Linked DNA regions of Danio rerio. The main gene of each other region encodes a partner of the protein of the gene in region 4 in a complex. Links are inferred from orthologs where the notes say so. Each region holds a gene or a part of one and is shown on either strand. Other genes may lie near its edges.

The links.
Region 1: sart1 (region 4) and lsm4 share a complex: the UniProt entries of both Homo sapiens proteins name them as parts of the U4/U6-U5 tri-snRNP complex. The link is inferred for Danio rerio from reciprocal best matches to the Homo sapiens genes SART1 and LSM4.
Region 2: sart1 (region 4) and lsm5 share a complex: the UniProt entries of both Homo sapiens proteins name them as parts of the U4/U6-U5 tri-snRNP complex. The link is inferred for Danio rerio from reciprocal best matches to the Homo sapiens genes SART1 and LSM5.
Region 3: sart1 (region 4) and snrpd2 share a complex: the UniProt entries of both Homo sapiens proteins name them as parts of the U4/U6-U5 tri-snRNP complex. The link is inferred for Danio rerio from reciprocal best matches to the Homo sapiens genes SART1 and SNRPD2.

Annotation. Positions count from the first base shown.
Region 1 is NC_133186.1:6,965,150-6,970,672, forward strand, and holds the start of lsm4 (U6 snRNA-associated Sm-like protein LSm4), read right to left. Parts: upstream 3,576-5,523; 5' UTR 3,461-3,575; coding exon 3,458-3,460; intron 1,690-3,457; coding exon 1,648-1,689; intron 747-1,647; coding exon 648-746; intron 487-647; coding exon 285-486; intron 1-284. Other genes in the region: probable ATP-dependent RNA helicase DDX49, read right to left, coding at 4,749-4,892, 5,007-5,078. UniProt on the Homo sapiens protein: Plays a role in pre-mRNA splicing as component of the U4/U6-U5 tri-snRNP complex that is involved in spliceosome assembly, and as component of the precatalytic spliceosome (spliceosome B complex).
Region 2 is NC_133187.1:13,905,973-13,911,478, forward strand, and holds the start of lsm5 (U6 snRNA-associated Sm-like protein LSm5), read right to left. Parts: upstream 3,576-5,506; 5' UTR 3,494-3,575; coding exon 3,448-3,493; intron 2,686-3,447; coding exon 2,590-2,685; intron 1,349-2,589; coding exon 1,321-1,348; intron 659-1,320; coding exon 586-658; intron 1-585. UniProt on the Homo sapiens protein: Plays a role in pre-mRNA splicing as component of the U4/U6-U5 tri-snRNP complex that is involved in spliceosome assembly, and as component of the precatalytic spliceosome (spliceosome B complex).
Region 3 is NC_133193.1:43,800,582-43,804,917, reverse strand, and holds the end of snrpd2 (small nuclear ribonucleoprotein Sm D2), read left to right. Parts: intron 1-2,603; coding exon 2,604-2,778; 3' UTR 2,779-3,061; downstream 3,062-4,336. UniProt on the Homo sapiens protein: Plays a role in pre-mRNA splicing as a core component of the spliceosomal U1, U2, U4 and U5 small nuclear ribonucleoproteins (snRNPs), the building blocks of the spliceosome.
Region 4 is NC_133196.1:30,351,151-30,356,137, forward strand, and holds part of sart1 (U4/U6.U5 tri-snRNP-associated protein 1), read left to right. Parts: coding exon 1-18; intron 19-2,367; coding exon 2,368-2,574; intron 2,575-2,666; coding exon 2,667-2,779; intron 2,780-3,838; coding exon 3,839-3,984; intron 3,985-4,136; coding exon 4,137-4,261; intron 4,262-4,987. UniProt on the Homo sapiens protein: Plays a role in mRNA splicing as a component of the U4/U6-U5 tri-snRNP, one of the building blocks of the spliceosome. May also bind to DNA.

The sequences.
Region 1 (5,523 bases), on a different chromosome or scaffold from region 4:
TTACCATTAATTACCCTAATCTGCCTAGTTCACCTAATCAAGCCTTTAAATGGCAGTTTAAGCTGATCACTAGCATCCTGAAAAAGATCTAATCAAATAATATTTACTGTCATCATGGCAAAGATAAAAGAAATGAGTTATTAGAAATGAGTTATTAAAACTATTGTTTAGAAATGTCCTGAAAAAAATCTCTCAGTAAACAGAACTTGGGGGAAAAGGAGGGCTATATATGTCTGGAATGATTATATGATATGATCTATTGTATGAATATAAAAGCATCAGACCTCTGCCAGGTCCGCCACCTCTTCCAGGTCCACCTCCTCTGCCCTTTCCTTGTGGCTTATTCTGCTGCATGCCACCCCGGCCACGGCCCTTTGACACCACTTCCTCTTTCACCATATCTATAATTTCATCAGGGATTCGCAAGTATTTAATGGTGCTTCCTCTTATGTAGCATTCTGGCATCCTCCAAAACTTATCTCCATCCTGCAAATCAGAGCAAGCAGAAAAAACAGCCGTCACATTTCAGCAAGACAAATAAATAACCTGCAGATTTGTTTAAATAAAACAAACAAGTGTTTTGCTTAATTTTGTAAGGAATCAATAGTCTCCCAAAGACGTTTTCATCTGAATGAAGTCGTATTTACCCGTGAAGTGCAAATAACTTCTCTCAAGTTTATATTCATCCAGTTGTCGCAGCTGACCAGATGGCCGTTGTATGTCTCGCCATTCTTTAACTCAACCAGCTGAAAAGAAAAGCAGATTAACTTAAAAGCTCAATTATTGTTCAGCACTTCATTTTAGGGCTGTGCAATTAATCGAAAATTCGATTTCGGCTTCTAACGATTATAAAAAAACATTAATCGAGATAAACGATTATTCCATTATTTACCGCCCCCGTCCAATTGTCCTCACTTGTTGCTCTTAAAAGCGCGAAAGACCACATGCTTGTGTGTGTGCGCCGCACAGACACAGTCAGAAGCATGCGGTCAGCAGTTGGTCTTATTCGCACATTGCGACGAGCAGAGAGCACACACATCTAAAGTCATTAACGTGAGCGCTTTAATGTTCAAACAGGTGTCAAAACGCAGTATTTAGTGATTATTCATATTAACCCTCATTTGTGTAATAAACAAATGAGTTGAGAATCAAATGACGCGTGAAAGCGAAACCATTAAAGTGACAGAGCACAATAGCTGCCGCCTGTTTTATCATAATTAATAAAACAACGAGAAAATCCCTCTCTGCTCTTAATTGAAGTACTATATATATATATATATATATATATATAAATAAATAAATATATATATATATATATATATATATAAATAAATATATATATATATATATATATATATATAGTCCTATTTGTTTTACTTAAATAAAAGCAGTTTTAAATAAATAAAAAAACATTTTAGGGACAATATTATTAGCCCCTTTAAGCTATATATCTTTCTAATAGTCTACAGAACAAACCATCGTTATAACATTTTGGGTTTATTTGTTTTTCCAAATCATTTTCAGGCCTGGAAAATGCCTTGTCAAAATTCCATGACTTTTCAGGACAGTATGATCCCTGATCATGGCACCTTTAACTTCGTGCTGACAATAAAGATGCACGCATGAAGTGAGCTGCTTGATACTCACCATCGGGTGGTTCTGTGCCGTCTTCAGTAAAGATAACGGGAGCTAGAAAAGAAAAAGAAAGAATTCGAGTGGTCATGCTAACAACAGAGTAAATGAAGAGTTTCTTCTGTGCTCACAATGGAATATTGTTAATTGTTATTCAATTGGAGATTACACTCACTAACCAGAATATGTGACCCTGGACTGAGCATATAGGACAATAACTGGGTTCAAGGTTAACAGCGGTTTGGAAAACTTAAAATTTTAAAATTGCTATTATTTTTCAGATATTTTTTCTATGTTATATGCAAGTTTTGTTTGATTGTTTGATTTCATTTAGTTTTCATTTAGCAACACTATCTCCAGCAGAAAAGGACCCTCTACATCTCAAGACACCGGTTAGCCCACGATTCAGCAAATATTTGAAAAACAAATCGCTTATGGCCTGTTTTCACTGAGTGGTACGGTTCGGTTTGGTACGCTTTTATGGCCATTTGCACTGTCAAAAGGCGAACCGAACTGTACCACTTCTTAGGCACCATTTCGAAAGGATACCAAACACGAGAAAGGGTACCAAAAGGCGGAGCTAGATGTGCAACTGAATGTTCTAGGTTTACAGAAATACGTCATTCGTCTACGCAATAAGCCAGAATGAAAACAAAAAACCTGCCATGTTTAAAATACACAGCCGAGAGATTACAGCGTACAGCATTTAGCATGTATTTGATCATTAAATGTTAAAAACTCAGTCCTGTTATTCATATAAGCCATAACAGGAGCGAATTGCATTCTCTGCTGCATATATAATAATGCAAAAAAAACTATTGACGTAAGATATAGAGGTAAAGTTAGTTTTATTTTCGCATTTTCGTTCATTTAGAAGTCCCTATAATGTTTAACATGAATATTTGATCGGAATTAGCGTGCAAACATGACTTCTAAACAACATTAACACCATCTAATTGACTGTAAACAATGCTGTACTTTGATAATCATTTGGCTGCTAATTTGATTTTCCAATTTAGAATTTGCAAAGAATACTTTTCTATAATTATATTATTAAGGGGAAAGTCTGAATATGCGAATATAAAACTAAACTTACCTCTATATGCAAGATGATTTACTTGATTATTTAGGTACCATTGCTTATATATTTTAAACATTCACTCACTGTCCACTTTATTAGGTACACCAGTCGAACTGCTCATTAACGTAAATTTCTAATCAGCCAATCACATGGCGGAATCGAAATGCCTTCAGGAATGTACACATGGTCAAGATGATCTGCTGTAACGTTAGTTTAAATCGAGCATCAGAAAGCTGGAAGAAAGGGGATTTAAGTGACTATGAAGGTGGCATGGTTGTTGACGGGCTGGTCACTAATGATGTTTTCAAGTCATATACACAAGTATACTTGCATGTGATTTTAGACCAAATGTTTAAAGTACCATGGTAAACAAGGTAGGGAGCATGTCACAAGTTGTCACTGAACGAATGTGCGAATATAAAACCGACTTTGGATATTCTTGATAAAACTACGCCAAAACCTTTCTGACTTCTGAAGTTCCTCGCATGTCTGTAGAGATAATTTAATAGAGTAATAAATGTATAATAGCCGTCTACATTGATTTTTAACTAATTTTATCTATTTTACTAAATAAGTACGTAACGTGCTTGTAAAGATTCGTGTATACACCCAAATAAAACGTTTACACAACGCTTTGTTTCTGCGCGTAATCGGTGTTAACCGACCTACAGATCATCCAATAAACACAGCGGAAAATCTTAATTTCACTAACGTTAGCCAGTAAGTTTATCGACTTCATCTCACCATGTCAGCTGAATGACCAATCAGTCTTTATATGAAGTTTTAATCCACTGAAGACTTCAATCACAAATGATTTTCTGTGAATCTTCTTCGCAGCACAAGGCGATCTGCAAACCACTTACTGTTGTACTTCCAGGTGAAAGCGGAAGTTGTCAAAGCAAAAGTCCCAAAACGCTGCGTCCCAAATCACATATTTATACTACGCCCTAAAAAGTATGTACTTTTTTGTAAAGGAAAAGTTTATACTTTTGAGTGTGCAACAAAAGAGTATGCAAGCTTTGAGACTTACTACTTCCTCCTTAACAGATCGCTGTGTTGCTTAGTTATGCCCCGTGTAAATCATCCACACATCATCCAGCAGCAGGTTAATCTGCCATTTATGAGTCCTTCATGCAGAAAGTTTCAAGGACACCAGGACCATATTAATGTAATTAATGACTGCATGTTGTAGGGGCAGAATGGAAGCAGAAAGGATTCTTTATAAGATAGTTGAGGGAGACTCGGATTTAAAGTCTGACAATCAGACAATTAAATAAATACCTTTTATGTTAAATTTGTTTTGAATTAACATCACCTCTTTTTTTCTTTTGAGTTTGGCTCTCTTTTAGACTAAACTGTTTCAGGAATTTCAACACAAAAGGAAAAAATGGCTTTTGTTTTCTTTTTGTTACATTGATATTGGATTAATATCCCTTTACAGCCATATCCTGTAGAGTTTTGTTGTCCGAGTTTGGCGGTTGTTTTGAACCAAAATGGATAGAGGTAAAGTTGGTTTTATATTCGCATTCAGACTTTCCCCTTAGTAATATAATTTTAGAAAAGTTTTCTTAGCAAATTTTAAATTGGGAAATCGTATTAGTAGCCAATGATTATTAAAGTACAGCATTGTTTACAGTGATTTAGATAGTGTTAATGTTGTTTAGAAGTCAGACTTGCATGCTAATTCCGATCGAATATTCAAAGTAACATGGTAAACAATATAGAGACTTCTAAATAAAGGAATATGTGAATAGAAAAACAGCTTTACCTCTATCTAAAATGGTCCTGTGGTCCACTACAGTGGACATGCTATAAAATAAAAAAAAAGTGTAAAAACTCTAAATTGTGAAAAAAAATTTTAAACCCAAAAGATGTAGGAAATCACAGAAAAAAGCAATAAATAAAATAAAATAAAAAAATCAACACAGATTCATTCATTCATGTAGCAACACAGTCAACACTGCATCACATGTTTATTAAATATAAGCATATTCACGCTATATACATAATATTAAATTGTACAAAAGAGAGGAAATTAAGAGCCAACTTCTGTCGCTTTTGCACTTTTCTCATGTTTTTTCTTTTCCTTTTTGCTCTGGGGGTTTTTTCCTTTGAGTTTCTTATTTTTTCCTCGGATCTTCTCTAATTCATTTTTCCTTTTTTCTTCCAAATCAGGATCCTGCAATAGATTTAAAATTAAATCAAGGAAAAAAAATTGTAAAATTATGCATGTACACAAAAATACTTTATAAGAAACATACAAATATACAAGTTTTTTTTAAAAATAACTCACTTTTCCATCCAGAATCATCTGCTTCCTTTTGTTTATCTTCTTTTTCTCATCAAAATCTGTCGACTCTAATTTCTATAAAAGAATTAACAATTGTAAAACTTTATAGCATGCTTTAGATATATAAGTGTATATATTCTACCTGACAAAAGTCTTGTCGCCTATTTAAGTTTTAGGAACAACAAATAATAACTTGACTTCTTAGGGTTTTCACCTTGGAACAAAAAACATGGGTTATTCTTCTGTCCAATACAACATCTAGTAAAAACAACTTGATCAAATCTAGTCTTAAAATGTCTTCTGTGTGAGATTTCAGGTTGAATTTCATATAATTTATAATTTTCCAATGCATCCCATTCTTCTTGCCACTCGTTTAAAATGTAAACATTGATAAAAGGTCTCATCTTTGATGGAGGAATTTGTAAAGACTCAATTAACTTAATAATAAAGTCATCAGGAATGGCAAAGAAAGCGTTCTTGCAGGACTCCCAGTGTTCATCAAGATTCTTTAGATTCATCT
Region 2 (5,506 bases), on a different chromosome or scaffold from region 4:
TGGAAGTTAAAAAGTAAAAAAAATAAGTGTAATCTTTCAGGGTCATCCATTTATTGGTGCAGAAATGCAAACTTATCAGTTTGTTTTATATAAAAAAATAATAGGTGTTTGAGAATCCCGCATCTACTAAAATAGCCAATCAGAGATTACTGTAGGTCAAAATAGAAAAGTTCAATAAGTTTGATTAATAAATTAGATGTTTTTGAATTAAATATATAAATTTGGTTCACAGAAGCTTGTATTACACTAACATTACTGAAAAAGTGGACCACTGACACCGATTTGTCAATGTATAATTCACACCCTAGGTACATTATAAATAATATGAGATTAAACTGGAATAGCAAAAAAGCTAATTATTAAAATGACAGAAGCAAACTTCTTTGTTTTTGTTTATAAAAATGTAAAATTGAAATAAGTTTACAAAATGCCAAAACAGAACACTTCTGACAACAGAAAATGTACATAAACTTGCATTAAAAATTACATTTTAAAATAATGAAAAAAAATTAAAATGACATTAAAGCAAATATTGTTTGCTGGTGCATGCATGAGATTACTTGCAGATGAACTTATTTGTCATACCATTGTGATGTTATTGCCATTAAGGAGAATCTGATCCAGTTTTGTGATTCTTCTTCCCTCTGGTGTGATTTCACTGTGATACAAACACACAAGCCCGAGATGAGGAAATATTTAATACCAAGTGTTCAAAAATGTAACCTACATCTATAAATTCTTGTGAAAATACTTCATAATCCAATTTTCCTTGCATCTTGAATACATGAGTGTACACTTCACATTCAAGTACACTTCACATTCAATTGATTTTTTTTTTTTTTTAATCAATGATAATACTTGGAATTATTCTTTAATAATAATGTCACAAAATATTAAACGGTTTCAATAGTGATAAAAATTTGCTAATACCATTGAACTTCTAACTAAGCATACTTTAAAAAAAGTTTCTAAAAAGATTAGAAAATGCCTTCTCTATGCAGTATAGTTTATAGAATAATTAGAATACAGTATAAATAGTCTAATGGTATAAAACTTGAGCTTTAGTTAATCTCTAGAACGAAAGTGCTTTTTTTATTGATAGTTTATCCTAATAAAACAAACACCTAAAATTTTGGAGACAGGATACTGATCGTTTGAAACTCGAACAGCATTTAGAACAATAGAAGGTTGAGTAAATGTTGACAATTAAAATTTTTGAGGGAACTATCCTTTAAGTCAAAGCAGAAGAGAATGCATGAATACACTGTGCAAAGACAATTAAGCAAATATTTAATATTTTTGTTTAGGAAATATACTTACAATTCTGTGACATCCTCTAGGACCATGTCTGATGTAAAGCATCAAGGAAATGTACAACATCGCAAAGATAACATTACATAGACATTTACATTTCTCTGTTGACAACATGTGATGTAGTGTATTGTATTTTTTTATTTAATGCCATGTCAGCAATGCAAGGCTATTTTCATGGCAAGAACATTTCAATAATAAATATACAATTAAAAAACAAAAACAAATGAATACATAAATTAAATACATCTTTAAATGCTAATACATTTTTTTATAATTTTTTTACTATTTTCCAGGTGTCATTTTGCTAAAAATGTCCTGAAGAGACATCATTTGATAAAAAAAAAAAAAAAGCCTTCTGGAATTGTTAAAAGCAGGACAATCCAGTAAAATCTGTTTTACTGTAAAAGAAAGTGTGATGTGCAAATATTGAGCAGGGTCTTCACATTTGAGCAAAAAAAAAAAGCATGGATCATTCTTGCATGTCCAATACAACATCTAGTAAAAATCACTAAATCAAATTTAGTCTTAAAATGACTAAAAATTCAGTTTGAGATTTCAGGTTGTATTTCATACAGTTTATTATTTCTCAATGCATCCTACTCCTCTTGCCACTTATTTAAAAAGTAAACGTTGATAAAAGATTTCATCTCTAAAAGAGGAATTTGGCATTCGTTCACAACTTATTTCAAAGCATCCTTAGCTGCTGGATCAAGCTCGCTCGTTTCCTGAAAGCCCAACATGTCCCGGAACCCAGCAAAAAAAAAAAAAAAAAAATATGAAAAAAAATGGTTTTGTAAATGGTGAACTTTAGTTATAATATCATTAATCAAAGGATGATCATTTTCTGAAGATTCCATCACTTGGAGGCATGATTTGGAGTCTGTAAATATGATAGAGTTCTTTTGTTGGACATTTTCTTATATTAAAATGCTAAAACTAAAGCACAGGCTAATGAACATTCTTTAGGCAGACTGATTCCACAACGTTGTTGTTCAGTAACCATTGCTGCCGTTATGCCATTTTCCACCCTGGAAGAGCAACCGCTGCGTAAAACATATGCTAAATAAGTTGGCGAGTCATTCCGCTGTGGCGACCCCAGATTAATAAACGGACTAAGGGAAATAAAGGGAAATCTTATGTGTAACTATATCTTTAGCTAGCAGTATTTATAAAAAAAAAAAAAAAAAAAAAGTTGAATCCAAAACTAAATTGTAAACATCACAAATATTTGACAGTGTTTTGTTTATTTTTTTACCGCCAGTAGGTAAAGGATACTGACAAAGTCGTCAAACCCAAGCAGAGTTCCCACAATCTCTTTATCGTTCTTCATAACGATGTGAATCCGAGAGCCAATGCACTTATCCACCAGCTCTGAAAGACAGCACACAATCCCCATCATAAACACAGTCACATCATTGGCTGTTAAAGGAAACATTTTGAGTGGTCAGTGTGATATACAACTGTAAAACCTTGTAAAGAAATTCAATTTATGTTAAACGTTACTTCAACAACTATACAGCCAAGGTAAGTTTTTAACGAACCACGTTTAATAAAATTTAAAATTTCTTTGGCTTTAACACTAGGTGTGGGATTGAGTAATATGTTAATACCAAATTCATTCTTTAAAGTACTAATTTTAGGCTTATTTGACTCAACAACAAAAAAATCCTGCGAGTAAAGAGTGGAGTGGCTTTTAATCATTTGACACGGTATCTCTAATGTCGTAACTCATACATAAAATTTTATTTTCAGAGTATCTTACTTATAAATACATCTTAATGGAAATTGTTAATGATAAATGTGTTCCCAAGTCATAATTACAATATTTTAAACTCCAACAGAGGGAAACATATTAGTGATTTATTTTTTTCGCCCACACTAACTAAATGAACTGGCTTCCGTTTATATATAATCAATCACACATTGATGTATAAATTTGTGAAATTAAATATTTAAGTTAAAATAAAAACACATTGACATGATTAGGGCCACATCTTTTGTGCACAGGTGTATTCAATTAGATAAAAAAGCAAAGTGAGTTACGAACGTGACTGATTGGCATCTCTGCCCCGTACAAAAACACAAAAGTTATGTCAGTAAATGATAAGCAATTTTAAAGAAAGTGAAACAAACCGAGTGGTAAAAGCTGCGAAGGATTCGTTGCTGTGATTGCCGCCATTTTGATAACAGACCTGAATAATCGGGACCGGAAGCCAATTACAAGCATGGATAATCGATATCAGCACACATCGATAGCATCTTCTTCTTCTTCTTCTTTCTGTTTTATGGCGACTAACAATTAAAAGCATTATCGCCACCTACTGTACCGAATCTTACTCCGATGAAAGGGCAACAAAAAGAAACGAGGAGGGAGGGAAAGGGGGGAAAAAAACACCTTGGATGTTTCATATTGTCCAATCTTTGCATCTAGACCACATACTCATGTCAGCACTGCGTGTTCAGCTCCTCTAACATAAAGGGCCTTTATGACAATGATTGAGAATACTCTCATCCATAAATATAAGACTATAATAACCTAAATCCGAATACTCTATATACCTAATAAACGCTCTATATACTTGCCAATCTATTATACCTTTTCCTAGAATAATTTTATATATTGTTTTATCTTCCCCACACTGACTGAATAACATATTGCGATGTTTATTATATTTGCTACATATAAATAGTGCATAATCCACATTTTCAGTTACACCACATACATCACATTTCCCATCCTCATGTAAACCCATTAACGCAAGTGTTGCATTTAACCCTGTGTGTCCCAATCTTAATCTTGATAACCACACCTCTTCCTTCCTATTTCTTCCTTGATTTAGTGTTGTCCCTACTGTCTGTATAATACTATAGTGCCATCTTCCAGTATTACTATTATCCCATCTAATTTGCCATTTATTTATTAGTTTTTCCTTTAAAATCGATTTTGCCTCTCTTTTCCCCAGAGGTACATTTACTTCCTCTTGCTTATTTAGTGCTTCCTTTGCTAATTTGTCAGCAACTTCATTACCAGATACCCCAATATGTGATGGAACCCAGCAGAAATAAACGACTACTCCTATTTCCTTTAATCTATATAAAGATAAATAGATTTCTGTTATTAAATCCTCTCTATCTGATTTTGAGTTTGCTATACTAACTAAGGCTGAAGATGAATCTGAACAGATTACTACTTTGTTTACATCGATAGCATGAGAGGGGCTTGGCTTTTTGTACAGCCTGTGGCTGTAACATTAGAGCAGTGTTACCCAAGTTTTTTCTTTTAAAGGGCATGTCAGTCAGTCAAAATGTTGCATCATATAGGCTACCAAACTGTATGTCACAGTAATTTGTCACGGTAATTTGGAGTTTTATAGCTTGATTATAGCTTGATTAATTTTTCCATCTCCCAGTATCTCCTCTCTGATGGAATGACGGACCAAATCGGAAACCAAAACACAGAACACAGTACACTTCCACAATAGGTTTCCATTTTTTGTAAAACTTGACAATACTGTAACTGTTCCACTTCCAGAGTAAAAAAAAATCATTATAGGCCTAAGGTTGTATTCAGACTTGAAACATCAATACCCAGGTAACAAGGAATTCTGGCCCAGATTTGGTATAAAGCTGGCATAGCCAATATGCAGCCTTTATGATGCAAGCTAAGATTGCATCAATCAGCGATACAGTGTCAGACACAATGCACTCAAATGGAGCAAGTGACGTCACTGTGATGGGTAGGGTTAGGGGTGGGGTTAGATGGGGCTATTAAAAAGTATTGTATGCAACTCAGATTGCACTGCACCAGGTCTGCACCCAGACCCTCTCGTCATAGCATTCATTTATTCAGCACTGGCATACAGCATGTAAGCCAAACAGGGGTCAGGTTTGCCAGGTAGCACTGCCTTTAAGGTGGCACGCATGACATGGTCCAGATGTCAAATGTAGAAGGCTATTTGGCCCAGATGTTAAATATTGATATATGGGCTACATGGTTTCTTGACCCACATTTGAAATACATAAAAAATTTAGCTGCATGGTGGAGCGGTGGGTAGCACAATCACCTCAAAGCCAGATGGTTACTGGTTCACAGCCCCGGCTGGGTCAGTTGGCATTTCTGTGTGGAAGTCCAAAAACATGTTGTATAGGGCTAGGTAAATTGGGTAAGCTAAATTGTCCGTAGTGTAGGTCT
Region 3 (4,336 bases), on a different chromosome or scaffold from region 4:
TCAACATAACCTATGCTTGTGTCTCCTGTTTGCTATAGGATTTGCTAAGATGTGTATTTTATTTGCTACAAATAAATTATATTGAATTATTTAATGATTTTGCTGAATATTTTCCCAATACTACCATGTAATATATAAACATAATATAAATTATTACTATATAATATCTAAACTATTACTATATAATATATAAACTATTACAATATAATATATGAACTTTTAATATAAGATATTTAATATATAAACATATTATTAACTTTTCCTATATAATATATAAACCATGAATATATAAGATATATAATATATAAACTAGGCTTGGGCGGTATCCAACCGGCGGTATACCGTCAAATCTCCTCCCTATTTTAACCAGGTATCCGGTATTACCAAGCATAATAAACAAAATTACGACGTAAGGCTCAGACAGCGTCACCAAATTGTGCCTAAACCATTCAGAAACTGATACCGTATATGCGACCTTAGGTTTGCGGTCACCTGTTTGTCTTGTTTGTATTCTTCTGCGTAGGACGCTCTTTCTTCAAACACACACACACACACACACACAGAGATAGAGAGAAAAAGAAGAGAGAGAACCAAGCAACACCCAGCAACTCTCTTTCTCTCTCTCTCTCTCTCTCTCTCTCTCTCTCTCTCTCATTCACACACACACAAACACACACCGAGAGAGAGCACCAAGTGACACACGCAGATTGCATATTCGGAAATGTATTCCTGCACAACAAGAAATCGGGTTGTCCCCCGCGGTACAGCAGCAGGAATGCAGACCTCTAGTTCATATTTACCACGTCTTCCTTCTTGTTCGGTCGAATCCGGAAATACTGCCAAACTGCAGGTCACTTAGTGCGCGACTCGCCACCTCAACTCTCCCTCCCTCTCTCTCCTCCACACTGTCCCGTGATGACAATCACGCATACTTATTTGTAGGCAATAAATAAAGGATATTTAATATTGAATACTTGTCTACTATTTAAATTCAATGTTTTTTATGACGGTATAACGGTACTGAAACTGACACCGTGGCTATTTTTAGATCCTGCGGTATACTATATTACTGTATTACCGCCCAAGTCTAATATAAACATAATTATTAACTATTACTTAATAGTATATAAACTATTACTATATAACATATATAATATATAAACATTATATTAACTGTTACTATATAATAAATAAACTATTACTATATAACATATATAATATATAAACATAATATTAACTATTATTATATAGTATATAAACTATTACTATATAACATATATAATATATAAACATAATATTAACTATTATTATATAGTATATAAACTATTACTATATAACATATATAATATATAAACATAAAATTAACTGTTACTATATAATATATAAACTATTACTATATAAGATAATATATAAACATAATATGAACTATAATTATATAGTATATAAACTATTACTATATAACATATATAATATATAAACATTATATTAACTGTTACTATATAATAAATAAACTATTACTATATAACATATGTAATATATAAACATAATATTAACTGTTACTATATAATATATAAACTATTACTATATAACATATAATATATAAATATAATATTAACTGTTACTATATAATAAATAAACTATTACTATATAACATATAATATATAAACATAATAACTGTTACTATATAATATATAAACTATTACTATATAACATATAATATATAAACATAATAACTGTTACTATATAATATATAAACTATTAATATATAAGATAATATATAAACATAATATTAACTATTATTATATAGTATATAAACTATTACTATATAACATATATAATATATAAACATTATATTAACTGTTACTATATAATAAATAAACTATTACTATATAACATATATAATATATAAACATAATATTAACTGTTACTATATAATATATAAACTATTACTATATAACATATAATATATAAATATAATATTAACTGTTACTATATAATAAATAAACTATTACTATATAACATATAATATATAAACATAATAATAACTGTTACTATATAATATATAAACTATTACTATATAACATAATATATAAACATAATAATAACTGTTACTATATAATATATAAACTATTAATATATAAGATAATATATAAACATAATATTAACTATTACTATATAGTATAAACTATTACTATATAACATATAATATATAAACATAATATTAACTGTTACTATATAATATATAAACTATTACTATATAGTATATAAACTATATATAAACAATTTTTTTCATAACACAGTATGCTCTCTCTATTGTAATACATTTGACATGTTCTTAATAAGCATCATAAGCATTTACATAAGATGTCCAGTTTAAGGTATAAGGGGATATATTTAAATCCCACCCAATACTTCACCATTTCTAACACTTCACAAAAGTCTTAAAGAAATCTTATTAACAATTTTGTTTCAGTCTCATCCTCCAGCGCATATCTCATGTTGATGGTGTTATTTCAGGTCCGCACCACTCATTATTTTAGTTGGAGTGAGTCATCTACATGGCTGCATGTCAAGTTGTTGTCTGTTTTCTCTCGTGTTCTCAGGCATTGTAATATGGTTCTGGAGAATGTGAAAGAAATGTGGACAGAGGTGCCCAAGAGCGGCAAAGGCAAGAAGAAGTCAAAGCCAGTGAACAAAGATCGCTACATCTCCAAGATGTTCCTGAGAGGCGACTCGGTCATCGTGGTGCTGAGGAACCCACTCATCACAGGGAAATAAAGCTGACGTGTAACACGACTGTTCAAGTACAGGCTGTCTCCTGGACACACACTCACTCACACAACTGTGTTAAAAGTGCTAATTAGGCTTTTCAGCTAATTAATTATTACTTCATACACAGAATGCCTTGAGCTGAAACAATAATGTTTAGCTGGAAAACGTTTAACATCATCTGGAGAGATTGTCTGGTCAACAAAATGATAAAGATGTTGGAGTTAATTTTGTTGTTGTTATTGTTTTGTCATTTGTGATTTGTTTTCTAAATAAATTTTTGGATATTCAAGTCTTGATCTATTCAATCTATTGTATGACTCTAGGATGTAGGCATGGAACGATAACCGTTTTCAAGGTATACTGCTGTTCGGAAAAGTCAAGGTATTAAAACCGTCATCATTATCTTTTCATTTGTGTCTAGGGTGTATGTAGGATAATATAGTAAATAGTTTATTTCCTTTTTTTTTTTTTTTTTTTTTTTTTTAGGACAACATTATCTCCAGCTGGAAAAATATTCAAAGATGTCATTTTAAATTGTAAAGAAATCTGTGCTTTTGAAACTAATGAAAACAGCAGAAGTCAATGATTCATTTTCATTATTTATTTAGCCTGACATTTTTACTGTATGAATCCCTTTACATGATCTTCCAGCATTATACAAATTATTTATAGAAGTAACCGACCCATCAGAAAAAAAACTTTAATATTTAGCCCTGTATAAGTCTAAAATTTCACTCATGGTCTTAAGAGTCTTAAAGTCTTGCACTTGATTTGAAGAAACCTGCAGAAACCCTGATGTTGTGCTTCCCAATCTGGCCATTATTGCACATCAGCAACAGCAACAATCCTAATCTCAATACCAAACTTTAACCTTTTTATTTAAAAGGGTCATTTTTAACTCTGTTTTATCATAATGATTTAATTATTTTCCTTACAAAAACATTTGTTTAAAAGTGCTCCATATATTTACTGCTGACACCAACTTGGACAGATTGTGTATAGATTTAGTTTATTAACATTTGATCAGTTGTTTAAAGAGAGTGTATTTTGCTTGCTTGTTTTTATACAATGTTTAAAATATTTTGCCAAGAAATGTCTAAAATATTTAAAAATAAAATGTTATTATAAAATTATTATTGTATTATTAAATGTGTTGAGATGCAGAAACCTTTAAGCACCATCAGAAATTTTCCTCTTAAATGTGCATTTTTCCTTAGCCTTCTGTGTTTGAAAAAATTTGAAATTACTGAACCTACACAATCACCTGAGAAAAATGCATAGAGGTTTTTGCATCTGAAATCTTGATGTATTAAATTATAAAAAATATACTATCCGCTTGTTAAGTGTGAAGCAAAGCGTCTCCGGGTCCAAGCGCTCTGTTCAACTGAATGGGGAGACTCATAAAATGGTAATAATAAGCGTTTACAAAGCAATTTAATACTTTTGAAAATCATGATTGCAATATATATTCATTCCTTTTCTTGTCGGCTTAGTCCCTTTATTAATCTGGGGTTGCCACAGCGGAATTAACCGCCGACTTATCCAGCAAGTTTTTACGCAGCGG
Region 4 (4,987 bases):
GTGGATGACATGATCGTTGTAAGATTGCCCCAAAGTTTGAGATGATATATTTTCTAAATGCTTTTTTCAGGGCTTTAAATGAACCTTTTTGCTTTACTTAAAAAATATAGGAGCACCAGCCAAAATTTAGTCGTGACCACCAATTACGAACACAGTTTCTTCAAGTTTCATAAAAAAAGGTTAATGCATTTAAAATCGACACTAATCAAAACTAACAAACAAAAAATCTGCGACCACCAGCCCTGCATGCACTGCTTGACATGAATGAATCTTAGTTAAGAGTAATAACTGCTATTTTCAGGGGTGGTGTCTGATATTGCACTGTTGTTATTGAAATATAACTTATTATTTGCATATGTCATCTTAATAGCAATAACAGTCTTTTCATGAGCTGCAAAATTTCATCTTAGTGAATGCAAGTCCTTTTGCGATGGTGCACACGGTGTTACATTTTACATACAGCTTCCACTTCCATGGCTGACGATTAAATGGATTAAATAAAACCTCTCACACTTAAAGTGAGTAGATTTAGTGGCAAAGGCTATTACCTGCAAACTCCATCACACCTGCTTTACATTGAATGCTTCAATCATTTTATAGCGGACTTTAACTCAATGGAAGTCTTTTATCCACTCTTTTGAAAAGTGTAAATGGTGGATTAGCATTCATCACATGATCACTAATCAGATGTACCGTTATTTGTAAATTTAAGTGTTTTCTAGAACAAAATCTGTCAGTTCTCTCATCTTCAGCTCTTTCCATTTTTGCGCCTGTCATCTGAAGGCAGAAGCTATTGTTTGAGCGATTGACAGTTGATATTAACCAGTCCATTCACTTACAGTTCTAGAGCAGTGGGCCAATCAGAAAAGGGCGAGAGTGGGGCAAGTATTGGGCATTTTAGGTGCAAAGATGGATTGTGCATGAGTGCCCACGCATGTGGTGAACAATTTGCAATGAAAACTGGTCGCACGGCAACAATTTTATGCACTCGCACAAATGCTTCCGATTATATTTTGAGTGCGCATTGATGAAATTTCAGGCACATATGCGACCAAAACAATTTCGAGCCCTGTTTTTGTCTGCACAAGCTAGATTTTTTTCATAAAATTTGTATCAACTGCTACAAAAGTTAGTGTGGGTGGGGACATTTTCATTTTGCTGTCATCAAATGTCCCAACAAATGTATGGTCTAATTCTCCTTTGCAGCTAAATACCTCATTTTATACAGGTTTTTTTTACACTTATTTTTGATTTGTATCAAAAGAAATCTGCACATGGAGTTATGAGTTGTCTTCTTATCGAATGAGGACACATTCTCTTGAATAAATATGATACAGTGATGTATTACAGTGTAATCTTAAGTTCCAGTGCTATGCTTCATGCAAAAACAAGATTACGAGCTTTTTATATTCAAGAGCTTTGTTTTGTAAAATACATGAATTGTCGAGGATACAAGTATTATTCTTATCTATTACTCACAGAAATAGTGTATTGAAATATTTAATTTAAAATTAAATGTAACATCCCGTTTTTATGACAACCGTATACACATCCATGCTAATTCCACTGTCGAATAAAACTAAATATGCTTCAAATGGTTATCAAAATGATCAGATTTTCAGATTTAAACTTGACCAAGAAACTGTTTACAATAATTTCAATATCGTATGAATGCAACATAAGCATCACATTCTCCTAAAATGAAGCAACCGAGCAAAGCCAAAATTTACAAGAGAAGTCTGATGTCATGTCATCTTTCCTGAGCATTTAAATGAGCAAATATTTCCATGTAATATGCAAAATGGTGCTTTGTTTACAGTTTGTGTGTTGGAAGTACTAGTTTTTTTTGAATGAGCAACATTGATTATTTTAGATCATTTTCTGTATTTTATTCGCATGTAGTTCTTTTTGGTGTGTTAGAGTACAGCTGTTGGTCATAATTCCAGCAACACAAGAACACCATAAACTTTTGTCCTCACTAGTTCTTCAGATAAACACTCCACCTTTTTTGGAATTCATTTTACATCTCCCCTAAAGTTAAAACGATTGAGTTTTACCATTTTTCAGTTCCTTCTGCTGAGTTTCTGGTCTGGCAGGAGCACTTTCAGCTTAGCTTAGCTAAATCATTGAATCATTGAATATTACATTAGCATGTTCCTCAGAGTTTTGATCATTTTCCTATTTGAAGGTTGACACTTCTGTAGTAGATACATTACCTACTAAGAATTGAAATGAAATCAATATGGCTAGGAACAATATTCTCATTCTGGCACAACAATCAAGTATTTTTGCTGCAATAAAAATAATTTATTGTTATTTCCACTGTAGTATTTTTAAACTTTAAACCTTTATGTCATCTTTTTCCAGTTTAAGCCAAAGTCTGTGCTGTCCAAGTATGATGAGGAGATCGAGGGGGAGAAGAAAAAGAGCTTCAGGCTAAGTTCTGGAGGTTTTGTTGGAGGTGAGAGAGAGCGAGAGCTGCAGGCCATCAGAGAGAGTCTGCGCGATCAGGCCCAGTCTCTGAGCACGTCTGCCCTCACTCTTGCCACTGAATACTACACGCCACAGGAGATGGTGAGAACCACATTTCAGCAAGCTTGAATTCAAATTGTATTTTATTTTTGACTGATGGTTTTCTTTTTTCCCCCCCTAATGTGTGACTTAAGGTTGGCTTTAAGAAAACTAAACGTAAGGTCAAGAAAATCAGAAAGAAGGAGAAAGTACCCAGGGCTGACGAGCTCTTGGTTGACGACACTCGAAACTCAGATTTCGGATCCAGGTGAAGTTTTCACTCAGTTGTGTTAATGCAGGACACTGCAGGTGAAAATGGTGAAAAAAAATTATCAACTAATAGTTAACATCTTTACTAGTTGATGAATTACATTGACAATTGCAAACATTTTTATTTTACATAGCAAGTTTTCTAAGGTGCTGTATTAATATTCAAATGATGCATGATTTAATTAAACAAGCTAGTTTGCATTTCTCAAACTAAAATCTAAAAATTTGTTGAACTCTGGTTCAGAATGCTTATATTTCTATCAGTGTTAGAATTTTCATCATGTATTCACCCTAAAATCTTATTTATGTATTCATTTGTTTGTTGTTTTTAATTGTATATTTATTAATGTTCTTGCCATAAAAATAGCCTTGAAAATTAGAAATAAAAATTAGAGGTTTCATTTAAATGTATTGGTTCTGGTTAATATAAGAAATTTAATTTTAAATATGATTCTTTATAAACAAATTATTTACACTCCTTGTATCATCATCATTAGAATTATATTTTTTTGACAAATACGAATAGTAGATTTTTATAGGGGGGATCTGCGGAATTTACTTTTATCACTAATCATTTCTAAAGTACTATAAGCATTCAGAAAAACAATATTCATAGCTTTTTGTTTCATAAAAGTAATATGTATAATCAAACAAATAGTGTATGATCATATTCCTCTGCAAAAATCTTCAGAGTATAGATTTAGTGGTGCTAAAGTTTTATTTTGAGAAGATGGCTTTTGAAAAAGAAAATAAATACATTGTAATTAAACTGTGAGTGACCTGACACACTTAAAAGTGTATTTTAAACGTTTACTGCACTTAAGGTCGAAAAATAAACACTATAAAGCCCACAATCTCTAAAATGATTGAAGGTTATGATAAAATAATTATAATCTCTAAAACATGTTGATGTAAAATGACAAGGTGCATGTAAAACATATTTTCCTGCATTATCTTGGCTTAAATACTCGGGCAACAATACAGTTTTCCTGCATTTCTTGGCTTAAATACTCCAGCAACAATACTAATATTTTAACACAATCATTCTGGCTCTCAGGTCTCGAGGTCGAGGTAGAAAAGCAGCAGATGAGGAGGAAGAGGCAGTGCCCGGTGATGTTGTTATAGAAAACATCAGCAAGTCCAGAAATGTCCTCCAGCAGTCAGATGACATTAGAATGGCCGATATGGACATTAGTGATGAGGGTAAGAGAAAACGTCTTCATGTCCAAATTTAAAACTCTTTTTCCTTTTTTCTTTTAAGGCATCTGTTTCTCTCTAGGGGTCTTTGCTTTGATATTCAAATGAGTTGGATCACTATTCTCGGCACTCACAGTGTTTCTCCTTGTCTTTCTCAGAGGATTTTGTCCCCCCAGAGCCGTCTGCTTTAGAAGAGGATGAAGCTGAGCAAGAGCTCCAGAAACAGCTTGAGAAGCAGAGATTACTCCGACAAAAACAGATGCTTAAAGATTCCGGAGAAAGGGTGAGCACTGGATGCTACTAAAGCAAAATAACAAAAAGAATACATGTTTTCCTTATCATTTCATAGTCATTTCATTTTTTTTATATTGTTTCATGCAGTGTAATGACATCAAAATCTGTATGATTTGCTGTGGGTGGTCATTTGTTTGTAACTTATTTATTTATGGTTTGGTTATGGGTAAAGCAAAGACCATGTAGGTCAGGTAGTGAAAACGGTAGGCTACAATGAACTAATTAGTTATGAATTAATTGATATTTAACAACCTCACACCCCGCCTATGACGATGATGGCATCGTCCATTGCAATGTTTCATATTAGACATTGTACAATGCCAAATTGGTCAACAACGCCCAACCTAAGAGGCACCTTAATTTCTGGCAAATCCTTAATGCTGAAGTGTGCAGAAGTAACTGCTTTCCAAATGTGGTAAATCTACTCTGAAGTGTGTTGATATAGAGCAGTGGTAAATAAAATTGATTCTACTTAAAATCGAAGATTTTTTAAATGCATTACTATTGTTTCTTGATGCTGAGCTTAGTTTTTAACAGCAGATGGCACTCTAGGCTAGTTCTTAACCATATACTCAAATGCTCATGAAGAAGAGAGCTAGCAAGCTGTGTCTAAAATTGCCTATTACTCGGTAGGTACTGCATTTGTTAGGAAGTGGATGGAAGCAGAATGTGGCTGTTAGTAAAGCTTAAAGTGCCATCTGATGTTGCAGCTATG